Pelodiscus sinensis: one gene and its partners. The protein of the gene in region 1 interacts with the protein of each later gene in a pairwise test. Links are inferred from orthologs where the notes say so. Each region holds a gene or a part of one and is shown in the gene's direction. Other genes may lie near its edges. The genes, in order: RETREG3, MAP1LC3A and STAP1.

Region 1 (7,303 bases):
GCAGCTGCCGCCCTCTGGCCCTGTGCCAGGAATCGCTGGGGCGCGCGGGCAGTCCCCAACACTCCGAGCGTAGCCCCACGAGGCCCGGAGAGCTGCAAACCAATCCCAGCGCTTCTGTCACAAGCACAGGGGCTCCCTTCTCGGCACCCACCGAGAACAGCGCTCCCCGCTCACAAGCCTTGCGGAGGGCCCCCTCCCCCGAGTTCAGCACTTCCCAGGAGCCACACAGACACCGGAAGGGACCCTGTTTCCCCTGAGGCCTGTTCAGTTAAACCAAATAAGCTCAGAGGTGCTCTAAGCCTCTCCCCCAGCTGCTCCTCAGTCCTCTTGCCACCTCTTATTTCCTATCACCTTTCCCCCCTCCCCCGTTGCCATGCAACCGCCAGATGTAAACAGCAGGGGGCTCTGTCTGCTCAGGGGTGAAAGTGAAACAGGCGCAAGCCCAGATGGGATCCCATGGCTGGACGGAGAGTCCCTCCTTCCACAGCATCACTGATAGCAGCAGAAGGGTCAGAGGGCCAGGCCTGCACATGGAATCTGACAGGCTCAAGCCCTTTGAAACCAGCTGCCACGAGCTCTTCAGAGCCGATTCCGAGGCACACAAAGCCCTCTTGAGAACACCTGCAGGCTGCCACTCCCGGCACCAAACTAAACACCCTTCCGCCTGCGACGCCTTGACAGAGCAGGCAGGTGCCACTTCAGCAGCGCTCTTCTTGGAGCAGGAGAGTCATTGGAGGGCAGCCTGGAAAGATGGGTACCAATAGGAGCGGACAGCACAGGACAGCACGGGGCTAGCATGTTCTCCCTTTGGAAGCAGAGAGGGGAGCTATTCAGGCCAATACTAAAGGAGACAAGCAGGAGGAATGGGATGAACTGAAGAAAAGGTAAATGGAGGCCTTCCTAGTTGTGAGTCCTGGTAAGGGCCCATCATCTGCTCTGGGAAGAGCCTGCTGCTGGTGCTCTTTGTAACTGGATTTGGAAAATGTTCAGTAAGGAACACAGCAGGGACAACTCCTGCCTGTCTCAGGTGGGCCCGGGGTGAAAGGGAAGGTTGAGAGGATGTGGCAGAGATGAGAAAGGCCTCCTGCCTAGGATTAACCCTTTCCATGTGTCTGTTGCCTAGCATCCAGATTCCTGACCCCCAAAGATCTTCAACCTGCCAGGCTTCCCTACAGACCTTGCCTCCACGTGGACAACACAGCAGAAACCTTAGGGTCGGGCTTGCCCTCCGAAAATAGCAGCCTGGCTCAGAAAACAACGGACGAGGGAATCCTCATTTCCTTACCTCTAGGCTGTCGCTCCCATCAGCCTCTCTGTCTATGATGTCAAAGATATCTTCATGGATTTTTTCGCCCTAGCGAGATAAAACCAAAGCAAAGGTATCGTTCATTGATTTTCCCCAGGGGCAGCTGCAAGGAGCCACTTCCCAGACACATTGCAAAGCCAAATCAGCTGAGAGACGAGGCTTCCAGCCATGCCGGCAGACAGTTGGCTGCGAGCTGTCACCTGCAAATCACCGCTGAAAGGTGCCACAGCAATCACATGCCAGCACCTGCTGGGAGACCAGACATCCCAGACAACATCTCCAGCCCAGGGATCGGAGTTACAGTTGCACGGGCCAGTTCCAGCCCTGTTACCTGGGAGAAGCCGCTGGCCCAGTTGTTCCCAGCCCCACCACCATGCTCAGACAAGTAGATGTTTTCTGGGTTGTACAGGTTGGCGTAGGGGGAGTTCAGGATGGAATGGATCACTCGGGGCTCAAGGTCCAGCAGCACAGCTCGGGGGATGTAATGTTCGTCATCCGCCTGCACAGAGAAGGACAAGAGGGCCTAGAATCAAAACGAGGCACAATTCCAGACTGTGACAGAGGGTGCCACCCACTGGTGAGAGAACAGTATAACACACCTTTACTGTGAGAGACTGTACAGGAACTGCATTGGCTGTACTGTGGGAGCCCCTAGTAGCCCAGTCATGTTGGGCATCACGGAATAAAGACATGGGCCTGACCCAAACAGCTCCCAACCAGAGTAAATATGGAACAAATATGAACTGCTCCTTTGGTCCCCAGCGCTCTACACCCATCGTCCTCTACAGCACATCAGGCTCTACGCCGGGGTGGGGAACCATTGGCCTAATCTTTTTCCCTCCAGGTGCAGATTTTTTCCATCCATGTGCAAAATACATTTTGATGTGCACCAGGGCATGTGCAAACATACACCACCAGTAGAAACACAATACTAGCTGTGGGTGTTCTGCTAATCAGCTGGGAGGCATTGGAATTGCTCCTGAGTGGCTGCACAAGCACCCAGCTTACAAGAAGCACTGCACTGACCCATTGGGTGCGAGACGAGGCAGTGGATCGGGGCACTTCTCTGATGCAGTTCTGTTTGGCGGGGGGGGGGGGGGGGGGGAGAAGCACCGGTGGCTTCATGTTGCCCTGTGCTCGCAGGCAGCACCCCATGATTCTTGGCCAATGGAAGTGGCAGGGGAAAAGCCTGTAGGAAAACACAGGGACAGGCTTCCCTGCCCTGCTGTTCCCCCAGGCGAGGGGGAGGGGAAACAGCAGCATGCAGATCCACTTCCTCCCTGCACAAGGCAGAGCTGATCATACAGGGGTTTTAACGCTGGCTCCCTGCTACTCTCCACTGCAGCAGGGAGCTGGTGCGCCAGTTACACAGTCTCCAAGCCTTGGCACCAGTGCCAGCTCACCCCACTGCAAGGGTAAGCTCCAAACCTTATCACAGGCCAAATCGGGGCAGGATCCGGCCTGTAGGCCATAGGTTCCCCATCCCTGCCCTAGGCCATGACAACATGCTGTTAAGCAGTAGATCTTGGTAGAGAAACCAATGACGTAAATGAGCTTTGGGCTGGACTGAGTTCATCAGCCCCTTTTCATAATTCAAATTTGAATTGCTGGATAGACAAAATCCCCAGCGTGTCCTCAGCAGGAGGAGTTAGAGGTGGGGTTTGTTCTCATCAGAGGAGATAAGAACCATCAAGAGGGAAGGGTTTTGACTAGGAGCAGACTTTGTGGACTGACATAACAACTGAATCTCACTACTGCTGACCCCACAAGCCAGCCTGGGCTCCAGCCAGAGAGAACAGAGAAGAAATGTGGACCAGAAACTCTTGAGTAGGATCCCCCCTGGGCTCTTGGAGGCTTTGGGAGATACCAGCATTATGCCAACAGGGGGCTGGCAGTGCCAGACTTCCAGAGCTTCATCTCTGTGGCGGAGTGATGCTTTTGTTTTGCAAGAGGAGGCTCAGAGGGGAAGCCCTAGGAAAAGGGCATCTGGCCGAGCCTGGGCTGGATCTCAGCGATGGACTCCGGCGGCGGGGAGGAGCAGAGCTCTCTGGAGCATGCAGCGCAGAGCCCTGGTGGGACGCCCCCCCTTACCTGGTAGAAGAAGACGTCTTTGCGGTCGGTACCCTCGGTGGCGAACTCCTCAACGATGCCCTCGGGGCTGATGCCGTGCTCAGCACACAGCTGCTTCCAGAACTCGAACCCGACTGCAGGAGAGAGCGGCCAGAGCTCAGCCTGGGGGAGGGGAGATGAAAGCCCCCGCAGCACGCCCCCAGCCAGCCAGCCCAGGAGGGGGACAGGCCTGGCCCTACTCTGTGCCTCAGTTTCCCAGAGACCCCCCCAAAGCCCCGCCCACAAGCACAGGTCCCACGCCGGGATAGGTCCCTCCCCCCTCACAAGCCCCGCCCACAAGCACAGGCCCTGCCCCGTACAAAGGCCCGCGCCGGGATAGGCCCCTCCCCCTCACAAAGCCCCGCCCACAAGCACAGGTCCCGCCCCGTACAAAGCCCCGCGCCGGGATAGGCCCCTCCCCCTCACAAGCCCCGCCCACAAGCACAGGCCCCGCCCTCACTCTGGTTGCCGCACTGGCCCAGCTGCAGGGTGATAATCTCTCGTGGCATCTCGGCCGCTGCGCCCCGACCCGGCTCCTCGTTGCACCGGTCGCCTTCGCGTCCTCCCGCCCGGCGCCCAGCGGAACTGAGCATGCGCGGGATGCGCTTCCGGGTCAACCAGCGCGCTAGGCCGGCCCCTAAACATCGCCCTGGCAACGTGCATCGGAAGGAGGGAAAAAAACCTGCGCGCGCACAAAAAAACCACCCAACCACACCCCACCTCCCCGTGCGCATGCGCAGTTAGGAAGGCGCCCTTCCGTACAGGAAGATGGCCGCGCCCTGAGTGTCCCGCCATGCCGCGGGCGGCGGTTGGTCACCCCGCTTGGGGGCCGGGCTGACCCGGCGCGGCGGCGTGACGTGCCGACGCGGAGCGGATGTTGATCCCCGGGCGGGGGAAGCGATGGCGGCGGCGGCGGCCGGGCCCGGCGAGCGGGAGCGGCGGGTGCGGGCGCTGAGCGCCGCCCTGCAGGCCCGGCTGGGGCCCTACGAGCCGCTGCTGAGCGCGCTGCAGGCGGCGCTGGTCTGGGAGCGGCCGGGCCGCAGCGCGCTGGGCTGGGCGGGCGCGCACGGCGCCTTCTGGTGAGCGAGCGGGGGAGGGGCGCGCCCGGGGGGGGGGGGCTCCTCCGCCGCTTCCGGGCTGCGGGCGAGCTCCGGGGCGCGTCCAGTCTGCTCGTGCTGGGCTTGCCCCGTGTCCTCCGCTAGCGCCCGGCGAGAGCTCGGGGGAGGGGGGGGGAGATGTTTTGCAACAGCGTCTCGGTTGCGCGCCCTGCGGGGGGGGGGGAGTGTTTGACTTATGGGGGAGGCGACACCAGTTGCATCGCCTCTGTCGAGAAGGGAGGAGCTCTGCAGGGCTCGCTCCCGGGGGCCGGCACGAGTCCCCCGGCTCCGCTCCGGCACCGCTGCGGCTCTGCCTTTGAAAGGTACTAAGAACTGCCTGGCTCTGTTTAAAAGCCGGCGCCGCCGCAGCCCGGAACCAGTATGAGCCAGGACTGCTCGGTCCCGGCTCGTGCCAAGTTCAGCAGCCCCTGTTCACAGTGGCCTTCAACTCCCTGAAGGGAGGTTCCAAAGAGGCTGGAGTGAGGCTGTTCTCAGTGGTGGCAGATGCAGAACAAGGAGCAATGGTCTCAAGTTGTGGTGGGAGAGGGCCAGGTTGGATATTAGGAAAAACTATTTCACTAGGAGGGTGGTGAAGCACTGGGATGGGTTCCCTAGGGAAGTAGTGGAGTCTCCATCCCTAGAGGTGTTTGTCTCGGCTTGACAAAGCCCTGGCCAGGTTGATTTAGTTTGAATTGGACCTGCCTAGAGCAGGGGGCTGGACTTGATGACCTTCTGAGGTCTCTTCCAATTCTATGATTCTAGCCTGGACTACCGTGAACAGAAGCTGCTTTGAGGATGCACACCCCTTTCCCTGCTACTACTGCCTCTGATAGAGGCAGCAGTGGGCGGGGCGTGGGGGGAGCAGGTGGCACCTCAGCAAAGATGCTACAGGGGAAAACAGCTTTTAAGCCAGTTCCCCCTAGCCGCTCCTGTCCCCTTTCCCCAATACAGATGGAGCAAGGGGGGAGCGAGTATTTGAATACTCCGCTCAACTGCTTGCTTACATCCCTCATGGGCATGAGCTAAATGTTCCTGGGAAACCAACATACAATTCTGTGTGGAATATTTATTGTCTAAGGGGTTTGTAGATAGGATTAATTCTGAGTGAGAGTAGTTTTTTTAGTGACTGACTAGGTGTAGGACATTAATGTCCTGTTGATACATTTTTTTGATGTGTAGCAGAGGGATAGCCATGTTAGTCTGTATCCACAAAAACACAAGGAGTCCTGTGGCCCCTTAGAGGACTAACAGATTTATTTGGGCATAAGCTTTTGTGGGCAAAAATACAGGCAGTCCCCGAGTTACGCGGATCCGACTTACGTCGGATCTGCAGTTACAAACGGGGCCCGTCTCCCTGGTCTCCAGCAGACCAGGGAGAGGAAGCAAAGCAGCAGAGCACGCGGGCAGCGGGCAGCGGACAGCCCAGATGCGTCTGGGCTGTCCGCTGCCTGTGTGCTCCGCAGCTTTGCTCTGCTTTGCTCCCCGTCTCCCTGGTCTGCAGACCAGGGGGACGGGGAGCAAAGCGGTGGAACATGCGGGCAGCTGACAGCCCAGATGTGGTCTGTCAGCAAGCTGGTAGCATCTGTTGCCTTGAGTGGATTCTCATGACATGAGTAAACAGGTCATGTGAAGTTCTAGAGTCTTTGTCAGTTGGTTAGTCCATGTAAATAGCCATTTTCTCTTCTCCCACAAGGAAGTGCATTGATCTTTCTCCTGCAGAGAAATATTAGCGTTTGAGCTGTTCTAATAAAGATGTGTGTGATTATTTTGGTTCAGTAGTGTGTTTCTGGCAGTCCATGGCTGCATGGAACTATTTATTTAACAGGCCCCTGTGCCGAAAATGGATGTTCAAGTGTCTTTCAGTAAACTTATTCTGGTGCTGTTAAATGGTTGCAGCTAGTAATTCAAGTTTAGGTTTGTCGTATGTAAGCATGTGCTACCAAAAAGAATAGCTGCTAACCTACAGCTTGAGTGTAAAACATAATGGTGAGAATTCTCTTCTGCCAAGTCTAAACATAAAAAGTTTGCAAGATAGTAGAACTGCAAGGTTACCAACCAGTCCTTTGTTGTGAGTTCTGTATCTCTAGTTTGAAAGTCAGGAGTGACTGGTAGGCTAGTTTTGACTTCATCAGTTGCAATATGTTTTTGTAACTCTGTCCCATGGTCTTCCAATAGCCTCATGCAGCTGGGGGTAGCTGACTTAAAACAAATGAGAAAGTTTGAGTGGTTGTAACACTGCTCTCTCACTCATTTCCCTCTCCTCCCTGGGGATTGTCTGCATCTTTCTGACTGCAAGAGAATGATGTGTTCCAAAGGGAGTCTGAGCCAATGATACTACTTAGCCAAAGAGGATTCTTGTCTGGGTAACTACAAGTGCAGATACTACTTTCAGGGGACTGAGCATGGGGTGGTGGGAGAACAGCCCTTCGTGGAGAAATTGACTAAAGTGGAACTAGTGGGTCTGACCCTTCATCTACTAGATATTTTAGAGAGTTTGTCTCTGTTCAAGAACTCCTCCTAAATGGTAAGAGCTAGGATCACCAAATTCGGTAGGCAGCTTCCTCTGATCATAACTTTAAAGCAATGTAAGGGTTTGGTTGTGCCAGGAAAATGGGATGGGCGTGGAATGGCATTTCTTCTCTTAAAACCGTACCAAAAAGAGACAACGTCACTAGGCAGGTAAAAGGGGCTGGATGCCCTCCTCTCTTCCCCCCAGGTGCCCTTGAATGAGGACACTGCTGGCTGTTCCCCTTCATCAGGGAGTGAATGGAAACTGTAGTTTGCTGCATTC
Region 2 (7,204 bases), on another chromosome or scaffold:
GGAGGTCTGAGGCGGGGGGGCTATGGAGGGGGAAGTGGAGGTCTGAGGCGGGGGGGGATGGAGGGGGAAGTGGAGGTCTGAGGCGGGGGGGATGGAGGGGGAAGTGGAGGTCTGAGGCGGGGGGGCTATGGAGGGGGAAGTGGAGGTCTGAGGCGGGGGGATGGAGGGGGAAGTGGAGGTCTGAGGCGGGGGGGCTATGGAGGGGGAAGTGGAGGTCTGAGGCGGGGGGATGGAGGGGGAAGTGGAGGTCTGAGGCGGGGGGGCAATGGAGGGGGAAGTGGAGGTCTGAGGCGGGGGGATGGAGGGGGAAGTGGAGGTCTGAGGCGGGGGGGCTATGGAGGGGGAAGTGGAGGTCTGAGGCGGGGGGGCTATGGAGGGGGAAGTGGAGGCCTGAGGCGGTGGGGGCGATGGAGGGGGAAGTGGAGGTCTGAGGCGGGGGGGCTATGGAGGGGGAAGTGGAGGTCTGAGGCGGGGGGGCGATGGAGGGGGAAGTGGAGGCGGGTGGGGCTATGGAGGGGAAAGTGGAGGTCTGAGGCGGGGGGGGCGATGGAGGGGGAAGTGGAGGTGTGAGGCGGGGGGCTATGGAGGGGAAAGTGGAGGTCTGAGGCGGGGGGGCTATGGAGGGGGAAGTGGAGGTGTGAGGCGGGGGGGCTATGGAGGGGGAAGTGGAGGTGTGAGGCGGGGGGGCTATGGAGGGGGAAGTGGAGGTGTGAGGCGGGGGGGCTATGGAGGGGGAAGTGGAGGTCTGAGGCGGGGGGGCTATGGAGGGGGAAGTGGAGGTCTGAGGCGGGGGGGATGGAGGGGGAAGTGGAGGTCTGAGGCGGGGGGGATGGAGGGGAAAGTGGAGGTCTGAGGCGGGGGGGCTATGGAGGGGGAAGTGGAGGTCTGAGGCGGGGGGGCGATGGAGGGGGAAGTGGAGGTCGGAGGCGGGGGGGCGATGGAGGGGGAAGTGGAGGTCGGAGGCGGGGGGGATGGAGGGGGAAGTGGAGGTCTGAGGCGCGGGGGGATGGAGGGGGAAGTGGAGGTCTGAGGCGGGGGGGCTATGGAGGGGGAAGTGGAGGTCTGAGGCGGGGGGGCTATGGAGGGGGAAGTGGAGGTCTGAGGCAGGGGGGCTATGGAGGGGGAAGTGGAGGTCTGAGGCGGAGGGGCTATGGAGGGGGAAGTGGAGGTCTGAGGCGGGGGGGCTATGGAGGGGGAAGTGGAGGTCTGAGGCGGGGGGGCGATGGAGGGGGAAGTGGAGGTCTGAGGCGGGGAGGGGGATGGAGGGGGAAGTGGAGGCCTGAGGCGGGGGGGCGATGGAGGGGGAAGTGGAGGCGGGGGGGCTATGGAGGGGGAAGTGGAGGTCTGAGGCGGGGGGGCTATGGAGGGGGAAGTGGAGGTCTGAGGCGGGGGGGGCTATGGAGGGGGAAGTGGAGGCCTGAGGCGGGGGGGCGATGGAGGGGGAAGTGAAGGTCTGAGGCGGGGGGGCGATGGAGGGGGAAGTGGAGGTCTGAGGCGGGGGGGGCTATGGAGGGGGAAGTGGAGGTCTGAGGCGGGGGGGCGATGGAGGGGGAAGTGGAGGTCTGAGGCGGGGGGGCTATGGAGGGGGAAGTGGAGGTCTGAGGCGGGGGGGATGGAGGGGGAAGTGGAGGTCTGAGGCGGGGGGGCTATGGAGGGGGAAGTGGAGGTCTGAGGCGGGGGGGGCTATGGAGGGAGAAGTGGAGGCCTGAGGCGGGGAGGGGGATGGAGGGGAAAGTGGAGGTGTGAGGCGGGGGGGCTATGGAGGGGGAAGTGGAGGTCTGAGGCGGGGGGGCGATGGAGGGGGAAGTGGAGGCCTGAGGCGGGGAGGGGGATGGAGGGGAAAGTGGAGGTGTGAGGCGGGGGGGCTATGGAGGGGGAAGTGGAGGTCTGAGGCGGGGGGGCGATGGAGGGGGAAGTGGAGGTCTGAGGCGGGGGGGCTATGGAGGGGGAAGTGGAGGTCTGAGGCGGGGGGGCGATGGAGGGGGAAGTGGAGGCCTGAGGCGGGGGGGCGATGGAGGGGGAAGTGGAGGCCTGAGGCGGGGAGGGGGATGGAGGGGAAAGTGGAGGTGTGAGGCGGGGGGGCTATGGAGGGGGAAGTGGAGGCCTGAGGCGGGGAGGGGGATGGAGGGGAAAGTGGAGGTGTGAGGCGGGGGGGCTATGGAGGGGGAAGTGGAGGCCTGAGGCGGGGGGATGGAGGGGGAAGTGGAGGCCTGAGGCGGGGGGGCTATGGAGGGGGAAGTGGAGGTCTGAGGCGGGGGGGCTATGGAGGGGGAAGTGGAGGTCTGAGGCGGGGGGGATGGAGGGGGAAGTGGAGGTCTGAGGCGGGGGGGATGGAGGGGGAAGTGGAGGTCTGAGGCGGGGGGGCTATGGAGGGGGAAGTGGAGGTCTGAGGCGGGGGGGCTATGGAGGGGGAAGTGGAGGCCTGAGGCAGGGAGGGGGATGGAGGGGAAAGTGGAGGTGTGAGGCGGGGGGGCTATGGAGGGGGAAGTGGAGGCCTGAGGCGGGGGGGCTATGGAGGGGGAAATGGAGGTCTGAGGCGGGGGGGGATGGAGGGGGAAGTGGAGGTCTGAGGCGGCCGGGGGGGGATGTAGGGGGAAGTGGAGGTCTGAGGCGGGGGGGGGCGATGGAGGGGGAAGTGGAGGTCTGAGGCGGGGGCGATGGAGGGGGAAGTGGAGGTCTGAGGCGGGGGCGATGGAGGGGGAAGTGGAGGTCTGAGGCGGGGGGGGCGATGGAGGGGGAAGTGGAGGCGGGGGGGCTATGGAGGGGGAAGTGGAGGTCTGAGGCGGGGGGGCGATGGAGGGGGAAGTGGAGGCGGGGGGGCTATGGAGGGGGAAGTGGAGGTCTGAGGCGGGGGGGGCGATGGAGGGGGAAGTGGAGGTCTGAGGCGGGGGCGATGGAGGGGGAAGTGGAGGTCTGAGGCGGGGGCGATGGAGGGGGAAGTGGAGGTCTGAGGCGGGGGGGGCGATGGAGGGGGAAGTGGAGGCGGGGGGGCTATGGAGGGGGAAGTGGAGGCCTGAGGCGGGGGGGCGATGGAGGGGGAAGTGGAGGTCTGAGGCGGGGGCGATGGAGGGGGAAGTGGAGGTCTGAGGCGGGGGCGATGGAGGGGGAAGTGGAGGTCTGAGGCGGGGGGGGCTATGGAGGGGGAAGTGGAGGCGGGGGGGATGGAGGGGGAAGTGGAGGTCTGAGGCGGGGGGGCTATGGAGGGGGAAGTGGAGGCGGGGGGGATGGAGGGGGAAGTGGAGGTCTGAGGCGGGGGGGGCTATGGAGGGGGAAGTGGAGGTCTGAGGCGGGGGGGATGGAGGGGGAAGTGGAGGTCTGAGGCGGGGGGGCTATGGAGGGGGAAGTGGAGGTCTGAGGCGGGGGGGGGATGGAGGGGGAAGTGGAGGTCTGAGGCGGGGGGGCTATGGAGGGGGAAGTGGAGGTCTGAGGCGGGGGGGGCGATGGAGGGGGAAGTGGAGGTCTGAGGTGGGGGGGCGATGGAGGGGGAAGTGGAGGTCTGAGGCCGGGGGGGGATGGAGGGGGAAGTGGAGGTCTGAGGCGGGGGGGACGATGGAGGGGGAAGTGGAGGTCTGAGGCGGGGGAGGGGGATGGAGGGGGAAGTGGAGGTCTGAGGCGGGGGGGGCGATGGAGGGGGAAGTGGAGGTCTGAGGCGGGGGGGCTATGGAGGGGGAAGTGGAGGTCTGAGGCGGGGGGGCTATGGAGGGGGAAGTGGAGGTCTGAGGCGGGGGGGGCGATGGAGGGGGAAGTGGAGGTCTGAGGCGGGGGGGATGGAGGGGGAAGTGGAGGTCTGAGGCGGGGGGGCTATGGAGGGGGATGTGGAGGTCTGAGGCGGGGGGGCGATGGAGGGGGAAGTGGAGGTCTGAGGCGGGGGGGCGATGGAGGGGGAAGTGGAGGTCTGAGGCGGGGGGGGGGATGGAGGGGGAAGTGGAGGTCGGAGGCGGGGGGGCGATGGAGGGGGAAGTGGAGGTCTGAGGCGGGGGGGCCGAGGCTGGGGTCTCGCGGGGGAGGGCAAGCCGGGGGGCGGGGCGGGGACGAATAGGGGCGGGAACACTGCACCGGACGGGTGTCGGCCGAAAGCGCCCTGCACCTCCCCTTTAAGGGCTGGGTGGTGACGTCACCGCCGTTCGCTGGCCGCAGGCAGTTGCTGCCGGAGCCTGGGCGCCAGACGGCGGCTGAGGCGCTGAGCGGGCGGCCCGGGCACCTGCCCCAGGAGCCCCTGGTCCGAGCGGCCCCGCAGCCATGCCGTCCGACCGGCCCTTCAAGCAGCGCCGCAGCTTCGGTGAGTGCGGGGCCCGGCGGGAGGGGGCAGCGCGACCCCCCCCCCCCCATGGGGCGCTGAGCGGGACCCGCCCGCCGCGCTCCGGGGCTCTGAGGGAGGCTGCCCCTGCTCAGGCCCGCGGGGCGCCCCGTGGCGGCCAGTGGCTCGCGGGGGCTGGGCGGGGCGAGCCCCTCGCTTTGTTGGGGTTGGAGCTGAGTGGGCGGGGGGAGCCGGAGGGAATTGGCAGCCCCGCCCCGCGGTGATGTCACCCCTGCATCAAGCGAAAGGAAATGCTGGTTTGCCCCAGGAGCCTGCAGAACCCATCGGCGGGAATTAGCGGTCTTAACAGTCAGTGGGGAGCACTGCTCCTGCGGCTTTGGGATGGCACGTGACTCTTGCTACATGTCCAGTCATGTGTGTGTTTTTCTCAGCCACCTCCTCCCCCTCCCAGAGAGAGGTTGATTAAGCAAACATGGCAGGATTCTAGCCTGTCTATTTCTGATGCCCTCCAAAAGCTTCCCTTTCAATCCCAGCAGGCAGTCCGTCAAGGTGTAAGACAAGCTTTTCAAATCATGGAGAGTCTTTGGTATCTATGGTTGTGACAATTTTCTTCCACTATTTGATCTGAGGAAGTGGGTCTGGCCCACGAAAGCTCATCATCTAATAAACCATCTTGTTAGTCTTTAAAGTGCTACATAGCCCTGTCTTTTGTTTCAGCTACACCAGACTAACACGGCTACATTTCTATGGCTACATTTCTATCTCGTCTGTTGTCACTGACGTGATTGGTGAAATGTGTGAGAAGCAGTATGTTCTTTTGCTCACCATGTAATATAGGAAAGAAATCTGTGCTATAAATGAACCTGCTGTAAATACAGTCTATTGATAGTAATGGAAGGCATGCTTGGTTTTATGTCTGAGGTTAATTTAACTTCATGTAATTTAGTTTCGTATTGTTAGAAATAAGTGATAGTTTTGATCTTGTATGACCTTTTTAGGCAAATATTAATAAGATAGGCTTATATTGTATCCTGTTTTCTCCTCTAGGGGATAAATGACTAATGCAGAGCAGTAATTTTTCTTAAGTATTTTGCTTTGGGGGAAGAGAGTTAATTGCTTTATGTAAAGTTTTCATAAGCCTCCATTTATGACCGTGTATGTCCCAATGCTGATGGATAATTGGAATCCAGGAATTTTGATGATGGGCACTTAAGAATGTAGGTAATAAATACACATTGAGGCTTGGAAAACTTTAGTTTCAAGATGGGTCTGAATTGTAATTTTCAGATCCATCTTTTGCTAAGCTTATGGGAGTTGTTCTGGCTTGAATCCCATTGCTAATACATAAACAAGCTTTGGGGAGCTAGACTTACAAACATTTTGTGCAGAAATGTGTTCGGTGCAATTATGATAGTTCTGTGTATCTGCAAAAACAAATGACCTCTGTGTTTGCAGTTACACCCATGCACCTTCCTTGTGTGTGAATATGGTGGTAGTAATCGTATGTGCAGATTAATCGTACAGATTATTGTATACATTTTTAAGTATATGCTGCTCTAAATAACTGGCACAAAAGGGGAAAGGTGGTGGTGGGGGGGGGGGTTCTTACTCTGTTTAGTGTATTCCTATATATTTGAACTTAGGTCTTTGTCCTTCTGAAAACCTTACCATGTTTGTCCCTAATTGGGGACCGGTGAGTGAGTGGCTTACCATGAGCAAGAGGCCTACCTTAAATTGTTCTAGTGGATAAGGCACCTGATTGGGACCCAGGAGATTTGCATGTACCACCAAATTGTTGTGATTTCAGTGCCTCAGTTTCCCAGTTGGCAAAATAGGACTAATTTGCTTATTCCTCTTTATAAAGCATTTTGAAATTGATCAGCCACTTTTCAGCCATACAATACATTAAGCCTTTATTACCTGAGTATGTGTGCCATCCTTTCAACCCTAGTGAGATGAATAATTCCTTTCCTTTTAAAGATCCTTCTGGTATCAAAGTATTCCTTGTTCAAAATACTGTTCTTCCTAAAAATATTTTTGAAGTTCAGAAGATATAATGCTTCAAACACAAGTGTATTTCATAACCATTCACAGAAGGTGCTATGATAGTGCAGATATTTTATAGGAGGAAGAAAATTAAAAATATAGTGATAGGCAGACTCTGAAAGAAGGCTGGATCAGTGCAGAAGTCAAGAGAACAATAAACTACCATAAACATGCTTCAGAGTGGTATCCGAGTTAGTCTGTACAGGATAAACTTAAAAAACAAATAGCATGGTAACACTTTAAAGACTAACAAAACATGTATATAGATGATATCGTGAGTTTTCATGGGCACAGCCTACTTCTTCAGATAACCATAAACATGTAAGATTTGACTGGAATGTTAGTAACGCGTATTGGTGGAAGCTGATGAAACTAGGGATGTTACATTGGATTAATTGGCTAATTGATTAATCGATAAGGGTGCCTCTGCCTTTGAAGTGTAGCAACAGACACTTTAAAGGCAAAAGCGCTGCAGGGAGCATGGAGCCAGCGGGGGAACTCCAGCAGTCCCCCATTGGCCCTGTGCTCCTCACAGCATTTTAAAGTGGCAGTGCCTCATGGAGCCCAGGGTCAGCAGGATAGACCTGGGTCTGGCCCCGGGCTCCACTAGGTGCTGCTGCTTTGAAGCACCCCCTAGTCTTCTTTCTCTTTCTGATAGAGGCAGCAAGGTGTGGGGGGAAGCGACTAGTTAGTTTCATCTAGGGTTGTGAACATCTGAAGCTTCTTTTTCCTAATCCTTTTTCCATAGACAGTAATTTGTCATGCTGTAAGTACTAGAAGTTTTCCACCCCAAGTCCAGTATCAACTGTTTTTTATTTTTATTATAATAGAGACCTCCATCGGGATCAAGGTCCCTCTTGTGCTAGGCACAACATGCAAGAAGACAGGTCTCGCCTTTTA
Region 3 (7,014 bases), on another chromosome or scaffold:
CTTAGAGACTAACAAAAATAGTGTAAAATCATGAGCTTTTAGTAGGAAAACCCACTTCCTCAGATGAATGGGTTTTACCAATGAAAGCTCATAATTCTCTATATATTTTTGTCAGTCTCTAAGGTGCCACAGGACCACTTGTTTTTAAGGTTACAGGCTAACACAGCTACCCCTGAGAGGCCTCAAACATTTTACTTTTCGTATCCCAGAAACCTGTATCTGCCTTCACTTAAAAGCGTATGTTATAATGGGATTTGCATACGTAGCTGTCCAGAGAGACATGGCAAATATTTCAAAATAAAAACAAAGTCTAATTTCAAATCTTAGCTCGGAAAGGCTCAACTTTTTGTCTGAGGCCAGAGCAGCTCCTTGGAGTCCTGCCAGCAGCCAAAAATAGCTGGAGTTCAGTGTCACTGTTGTGCTAGCCCTGGCCTGCCTTCTAAACTGGAGTTTAAAGGGCTCAGCAGAGCCATTATAGCGAGTTCAGTGCCATCCAAAAAAAGACGGTGACCTGGTCCATAAAAACCTTTCGAAACTGTAGTTCTTAGAGGTGAGTTGCACATATCTATTCCCATCAGGTGTGTGCACCCACCCATGCACAGTTGCCAGTAGATTTTTCCCCTAGCAGCTAGCCATAGGGTTAGGTGCCTCCAAGAATGGCACCAATACGGCGCATTGCCAGCAGATCCAGAGAAGTGATTATTCCCCTTTATTCGGCTCTGGTGAGGCCACATCTGGAGTATTGTGTCCAGTTCTGGGCCCCCCACTATAGAAAGGATGTGGACACACATGAAGACAATCCCAGTGTTCTCTCCCGGAGGCGTTTGCTTTGGAGGATCTGCACCAGGCTGCCAGCGAAGTCCATCTTGACGACCTCTGCCGGCGCCCAGAATCTGGTGACCTGACTGCTCCCCAAGTCCGAGACGTGTCGACGTCCTGCAGGTGAGCGGTGCTGGAATGTTCCCTGCGATGGGGGTGATGCCGCTGTGGTGAAGCGGGATGGATGGGTCCTGAGGCAGGCATGCCCCTAGGACTGGGTGCCGCCGGGGCTGGTGTGAGCAGCACCAGGAACGACAGGATCTGCTGCGCAGCCTGGAGAGCTTTGGGCGCCGATGACTCCTGAAGCAGACAGAGTCTCTCTTCTGCGTCCCGGCCGGGAATGGGATGGGCTGCACCGCTGGGGCCCGTCTTTCCAAACAGGGAGCCCAACACGGGTCTTAGCCTGTCCTCCCCCTTACAGGGAGCGGGAGACCAGTGCCTACCTGCCTTACTGGGTGTCTTGGCCGCAACTACAGGTGGGGCTCAGTGCTGGGCGCTGGCGCCAGCACCAATGCCACCATGGTGGGTGCTGAGTGGGACTGCTGCTCTGTGCTGGAGTGAGCGCCGACTCCATCAGCAGTGCCCGAAGTCTGATTTCTCGCTCCTCCTTAGTCCTCCACTTAGGGTTTACAGATGCAACACTTGATGCTCTGAACAAAACCCAAGCAACACTATAGAGCAGTGAACAATCTGTGCACCAGCATGGGGGACAAGAAAAAACAGAGGGTGGGGGAAGCACATATCACGCCATGAGGACGCCACTCTAAGGATCACCAGAATCGTTCCCCTACAGATACTGCTGAGAGAAAAACATCTGGGACTGGCACATGTGGCCAGCACACACACACCTAAAATGGAATGGACATGAGTATGCATGCCAAAAAATTCTGTGCTAGTGATATTTCCTGGTAAATATTTTTGTTGCCTTTATGGTACCTTTGCTCCATTGGCGTGGTGTAAAAGAACCATAGTGCAAGACAATATAGATTAGCATCTTAACAGAGGTTTTTTTTGGGGGGGGGGAAGTATCTTCTAGAGGCAGATGTCTCAAGTGAAAAATCTTAAGTTTTATGAAAATGTGAAACAATAGTGCAGAGGTGCCTGCAATTTATTTAGGGTTTCTTCAGTTGTGGTTTTGCTTAGTTTATTAAAAAACACAAAGTCACGAGGTTCTTTCACTGCGAAAATGATCATTTCCGCTAGGGAAGGTATCATGGATGACGTTTCATCAAAGATGACACATCTCGAAAGAAAGGGAAACTTTGAACAGGTCTAAATATCACCTCTGAAATGGTTCAAAATATCCTACAGTTTGTGTGTTTAAAAAAAAATCATAAAAAAGCCAGATGAAAAATTCAAAGGGAAAGCTGTCTCTCACACTGTTAAAGCGACAAGGAGTCCTGTAGCACCTTATAGACTAACAGATGTATTGGAGCATAATCTGTTAGTCTATAAGGTGCAACAGGACTCCTTGTCACTTTTGCAGATCCAGACTAACACGGCTACCCCTCTGATACTTCACACACTGTTACAGAACTGAGAAGGCAACTCACTGAGAACAGTCACTTCAAAACAAAACCCAAAAAGTAATTGAAAAGAGAAACATTATTTATTTAGAAATAGTTAAAAGGTTTACAAATCCTTTCTGTTTAAACAAGCAAGCTATTTAAACAGAGAGTTCCTGCTTACAGAAACATCGTAGAGTGATATGCAATAATCATCACATCTCTGTAACAAAAAGTGTTACTATATTAAAGAGTGAGAAACTGAATATGTGACATGCTGTTTCCGGTGATTTTGTTTAAAAGAAGCGTTCTTATAAGAGTTAATAAAGAGAGGAACTGATTCTCCAACATCCTCCACTTTAATGTAGTGATTCACATCCCTACAGTGTGAGTTCCATTCTGATTTACTAGTCTTTTACACTCGTTTTGCATTCATGTATGTGCGCGCGCGCACACACACACACACACTGTAGCAGAGTGGTGAGACAAGTCTATTATTATTTAGAGAGTAATGCTTTAGACCTCAAGGGTCTACCTCTGAGTTGAAATATAAAATCTTTTGGGGTCAACACCTTCAACAAATCATGCTGTAATCTATCAAAATATAATTAAAAAGCAACCCTTTTTATTACATGTTGATTTCTGTTTTGAACTCAAGGTGGTTTTAGATTGTGCTGGCTTTCTAAGGCTGAACCTACAGTAGAGGCCTTCTTCGGCTATTGAATGTCAGAAAACTTGCCCCATTGCTGAATTTCCCCAGTAGAGTCGAGTTCTGCCATTTTACAACAAAAATATGCCGAAAGTAGCACAATTAGAAAAAATCTGTCAACTCAAATTCTTACAAAAGAATTGCTTGCAGACTAAAAATAGAGTTTTTTACTTTTATATATTTCTGGGAAGGACCAGATTTTCAGTTATCTTTGCCTAGTAATTGCAGAGTCTAAAAATTGCCTTGCAAGAAGGAAAGGTCACATATATTAAAGCTCTGTTGGATCTGCGTGAACGTTGCAGAGAAACAGAAAAGGAGCCGTGAAGGTAACCCACAAAAATAAGGGGGGGAAATGTGTTCCTTTTTCTAGAGCAGGCCTTCAAATATTGTTCCCCTTTTTCTAGAGCAGGCCTTCAAATACTTTTTGCTTGTTTGTTACTTATGGAAATCTCATCATGCCTTGGTGTGTCTTATTTCTTGAGGCATAGTCACAAACCTGAAGATAAATTCTGGCCTTGCTGAAGTCAACATGAGTTTTGCCGTTGACTTCCATACGGCCAAAATGTCAGCCAGGGAAACGGAACTCTCCCCCACGTTGTCTGAACTTTTGGGGATGATGGATTTTCCACAAAGAAAGTTGTTCTCCTTTTTGTTGGCTGCATAACAAAAACAGCAGTTTTCACTAACAATACCTTCTCTCAATCACTCTTGTGATGTCACGGTTTCACCAGATCTCCCGCAAAAGCAATCATCAGACATTCATATTGTAAAAAGCCAAGCAGAATGTTAGAATGCCAAAACAAACATTTTGGAAGCCAATGGGCACTCTCTCTCTCTCTCTCTCTTTGCAGGTCACCTGTAAAGAGTCCAGAATCTGTGGGAGGGATCGCTAACTAAATCCAGTAATGATAATCCTGATAAGAAATGCCATAATTCTCATTTGCATGATGGAAACAATCTACCATGCTAGGAAACTTCCCTTTAATCCATTTAATCTTGTTCCTCCTCGGATTGTACAGTGAGAAAAGGGTCTGTGTGGTGTGTGTTTATTTAAAAGTAACCACTGAGACTTCCTCTTTGTACTGTCACCTTGCGTTCTCAAACCAGGGTTAGCTTTCCTTTGCCAGAGGCTGTAGATAAGCAGGCAAGAATAGACAGTGGAAAAGCACACGGGCAAGATTTAGGGGACAGAGTGGAGGCAGGATGGCAGAGCCTGGGAAAATCCCTGAACCAGCTCCTCGACGGATCTTCCAGGAGAGACAGAGGATTACTGCTCTTCCCTTGTACTTTGAAGGGTTTCTATCTATCAGATGTACACGGTACCAGGTAAGTGCATAAAAAGCTATGTTCAATTAAACTTTCCTTGAGAAACTGTTAACTCATTAGAGGTCTGTTCCTTAGGTCTGATCTGCACCTCAACTTGCACTGAAATAATTAAACTTCTTTGAATTCTTACCTTTCCTTATGGCAGTGATGGCTGGCCTCTTGTGGACACTTACTTCAGAATAAAAGTGTCCCAGGAGAATTTGATTAAGATCAATTATTTACCAATTTAAGCAAAATCAAAATAGGATACTCTTAATCTGAAGTATCCATCCACACACAGACTTAAATGAAATCACAAAATCTGTTTTAATTCACACCTTTAAATATTTCAGTGAAAGTTTGTACATAAACAAGACCTGGCTGTTGCATCAGAAAGTAATATTTCCCGTACTTGAAACTACTTCTTTTGCTTTCAGATTTTAGTTATATATATTCAACTAAATATAATGTTTAATAAAATAATATAAATATAAAATGTAACATAATATTCTCCATTTATAGACATGCATTTCCTTTACTGTAGACAATGGTATAACAAACCGAAAGATAGAGAAAGATGTTGATTTCTGAAGCTGAAGTTTATTTAAGGTTTGCCAGTGTACTCTTAAACGATTCCAGCATATTCCATACATGTGCATAATCAAAACAACTGCCTTACACACCACAATAATTATTCAGTACTCTATTAAATTTTTTTTTATAATCTACAGGAAAGTTGATTGAGACAGATTTCAGAGCTGCAACACTTCAATTACATTTTAAGCCACCAGAGCAAAATTTGATTTGTTTCCCTTGTTCTCAACTATCCGATACTAGTCTTAATCCTGAAATTCTCAGTGAGATAGCATTTTAAATGAGCGTGATGATGACTTACTATAATTAACAATATATAATGCCTAACCGATTGAGCATATATTTATGGACTGTTTTGGAAGCACAGTCGAGTAATGAGGTAGGATAATCATTTAGGCCCTGACCTTGATTTTTTATGCATGCATGAACATGATTACAGGTTAAACCTTGCTAGTCTGGCACTCTCTGGTCCAGCAACATCCGTGGTCCGGCATGATTTTAGTGAGCAGGATTTCCACTTATCACGGGTGTGGCCAAGTTTCCTGCAGTCCCATAAAGTTTGTTTACAGCCCCCAGTCCTGGCTCTCAGGGTTCTGGGCTGTTACTTAGCTTTCATTTACCCCTAAATGTCTCCTAAGAGCCCAGCAAGCAGTGGACGAGTTGGGAATGCTGCTGGACAACATTGACTTCCTGTGGTTAGGCAAATTCTCTGGTTCAGCACCAGTCAAGTCCTAAAGGTGCTAGACTAGAGAGGTTCAACCTGTATTAAGTATTTACAGATCAGGTCCTTGAACATGCGCTGACTGCTTTTTAGTACCGATTTTTTTATTTCAGTTCTTGATAGAGATAATTACATTTAATATTACAAAACAATTTCCATTATAATCCTCCTTTTTCCCACCCAGTCATAGCTGTAAGAGATTGAACATTTTCTGTGCTTGATCACTGCTCAGATATGAACTTTTTCATAAATAAGTTTACCTTTAGACTTTTGCTTCTTGCTTTTTTTTTTTTTTTTTAAGTATGGTGGGGGGAAGGAGATACACTTATCTCACAATGAGGAAAGCAACTACCACCATTTTTTTTCTCCCTACGATACAGAAAGAGGAAGTTTAGAACAGCAGGATTTTTGAACATCACTATTAATGCTATATCCTAGCATGGCAGATTGGTTGAAGTTTCATCATGCTGCATCTCAGTCCAGAAATAAATCAGCAGTTATTTTTCAGGTTTCTCCCATATGTGAAATCATTTAAAACCTACTCTCTTTCCAGAGTCACTAGCTCACATACCAGCAGTTGAGTGCCTGACACCAAGATCGTACAGGCAACAGATAATGTTTCAGCACTGCAGCAGGATTACCTGGGGCACCACGAAAGCTTGTAGTGAGATGAGTAATTTCAGAAACGGGAGGGGTCCGATATACAGCTGCATTTCCTCCCAAGCTTTTAATAATAGGAACACCTCAGGGGCTACCATTCAAGGCTAGGTCAGACATGTCCAGGAGCAGTGCGGGTGTAACAGTGAATCTTACCAAACTTCTGGTTTTGCCGAGGTTTCCAATCCACCTGTATCCTTCTTATCTCTTTATTCTTCTCTTAACTTAGGCCTCACCCTGCCAAGAGAGTCACATAGGACCCATATGGATTCCTTTTGGGGAGCAGGGCTTTCAACCATGCGTTCTCTAGGGCATGGAGTCAGTCTGTGTCTGTATTTTAAAGCATGTTTAGGATACCATATAATTAATGATTTGACTATCTTAGCATTGTTTCGCCTGTGACCAGAAAAGATCCGTTTTCCTAGTGTTATTTCAGCCGGAGTGGGGATTGCTGGTTGTGGAACGTGTGTGGTAGTGAAAGGAATCAAATAAAAATAAACCATTGACAAAATATGTCCTGAGGTTATTGCAGATGGTCCCAGGCAGATTTGGATCGGGCCCGCTTTAGCCCAGCGGGCTGGCTCCCTGTCGGTAGCGGCCCCACACACCATTCAAAGCAGCTGGCTGCTGGGGCCAACATGTGTGTCTCTGTGTGGCACAGCCCTTGGAGGAAAGGGGTCTCTGCCCCACACCCCCAGCACTAC

What was found.
Region 2: the proteins of RETREG3 (region 1) and MAP1LC3A interact in binary tests that used the Homo sapiens proteins (3 or more experiments, as listed by UniProt). The link is inferred for Pelodiscus sinensis from reciprocal best matches to the Homo sapiens genes RETREG3 and MAP1LC3A.
Region 3: the proteins of RETREG3 (region 1) and STAP1 interact in binary tests that used the Homo sapiens proteins (3 or more experiments, as listed by UniProt). The two-hybrid records come from large-scale screens. The link is inferred for Pelodiscus sinensis from reciprocal best matches to the Homo sapiens genes RETREG3 and STAP1.

The regions. Positions count from the first base shown.
Region 1 is NC_134739.1:8,830,896-8,838,198, forward strand, and holds the start of RETREG3 (reticulophagy regulator 3), read left to right. Parts: upstream 1-4,200; 5' UTR 4,201-4,315; coding exon 4,316-4,494; intron 4,495-7,303. Other genes in the region: TUBG1 (tubulin gamma-1 chain), read right to left, coding at 1,286-1,354, 1,638-1,805, 3,398-3,510, 3,876-4,008. UniProt on the Homo sapiens protein: Endoplasmic reticulum (ER)-anchored autophagy regulator which exists in an inactive state under basal conditions but is activated following cellular stress.
Region 2 is NC_134728.1:35,701,274-35,708,477, forward strand, and holds the start of MAP1LC3A (microtubule-associated protein 1 light chain 3 alpha), read left to right. Parts: upstream 1-4,103; 5' UTR 4,104-4,239; coding exon 4,240-4,279; intron 4,280-7,204. UniProt on the Homo sapiens protein: Ubiquitin-like modifier involved in formation of autophagosomal vacuoles (autophagosomes). While LC3s are involved in elongation of the phagophore membrane, the GABARAP/GATE-16 subfamily is essential for a later stage in autophagosome maturation.
Region 3 is NC_134715.1:4,113,246-4,120,259, forward strand, and holds the start of STAP1 (signal-transducing adaptor protein 1), read left to right. Parts: upstream 1-3,969; 5' UTR 3,970-4,236; coding exon 4,237-4,359; intron 4,360-7,014. UniProt on the Homo sapiens protein: In BCR signaling, appears to function as a docking protein acting downstream of TEC and participates in a positive feedback loop by increasing the activity of TEC.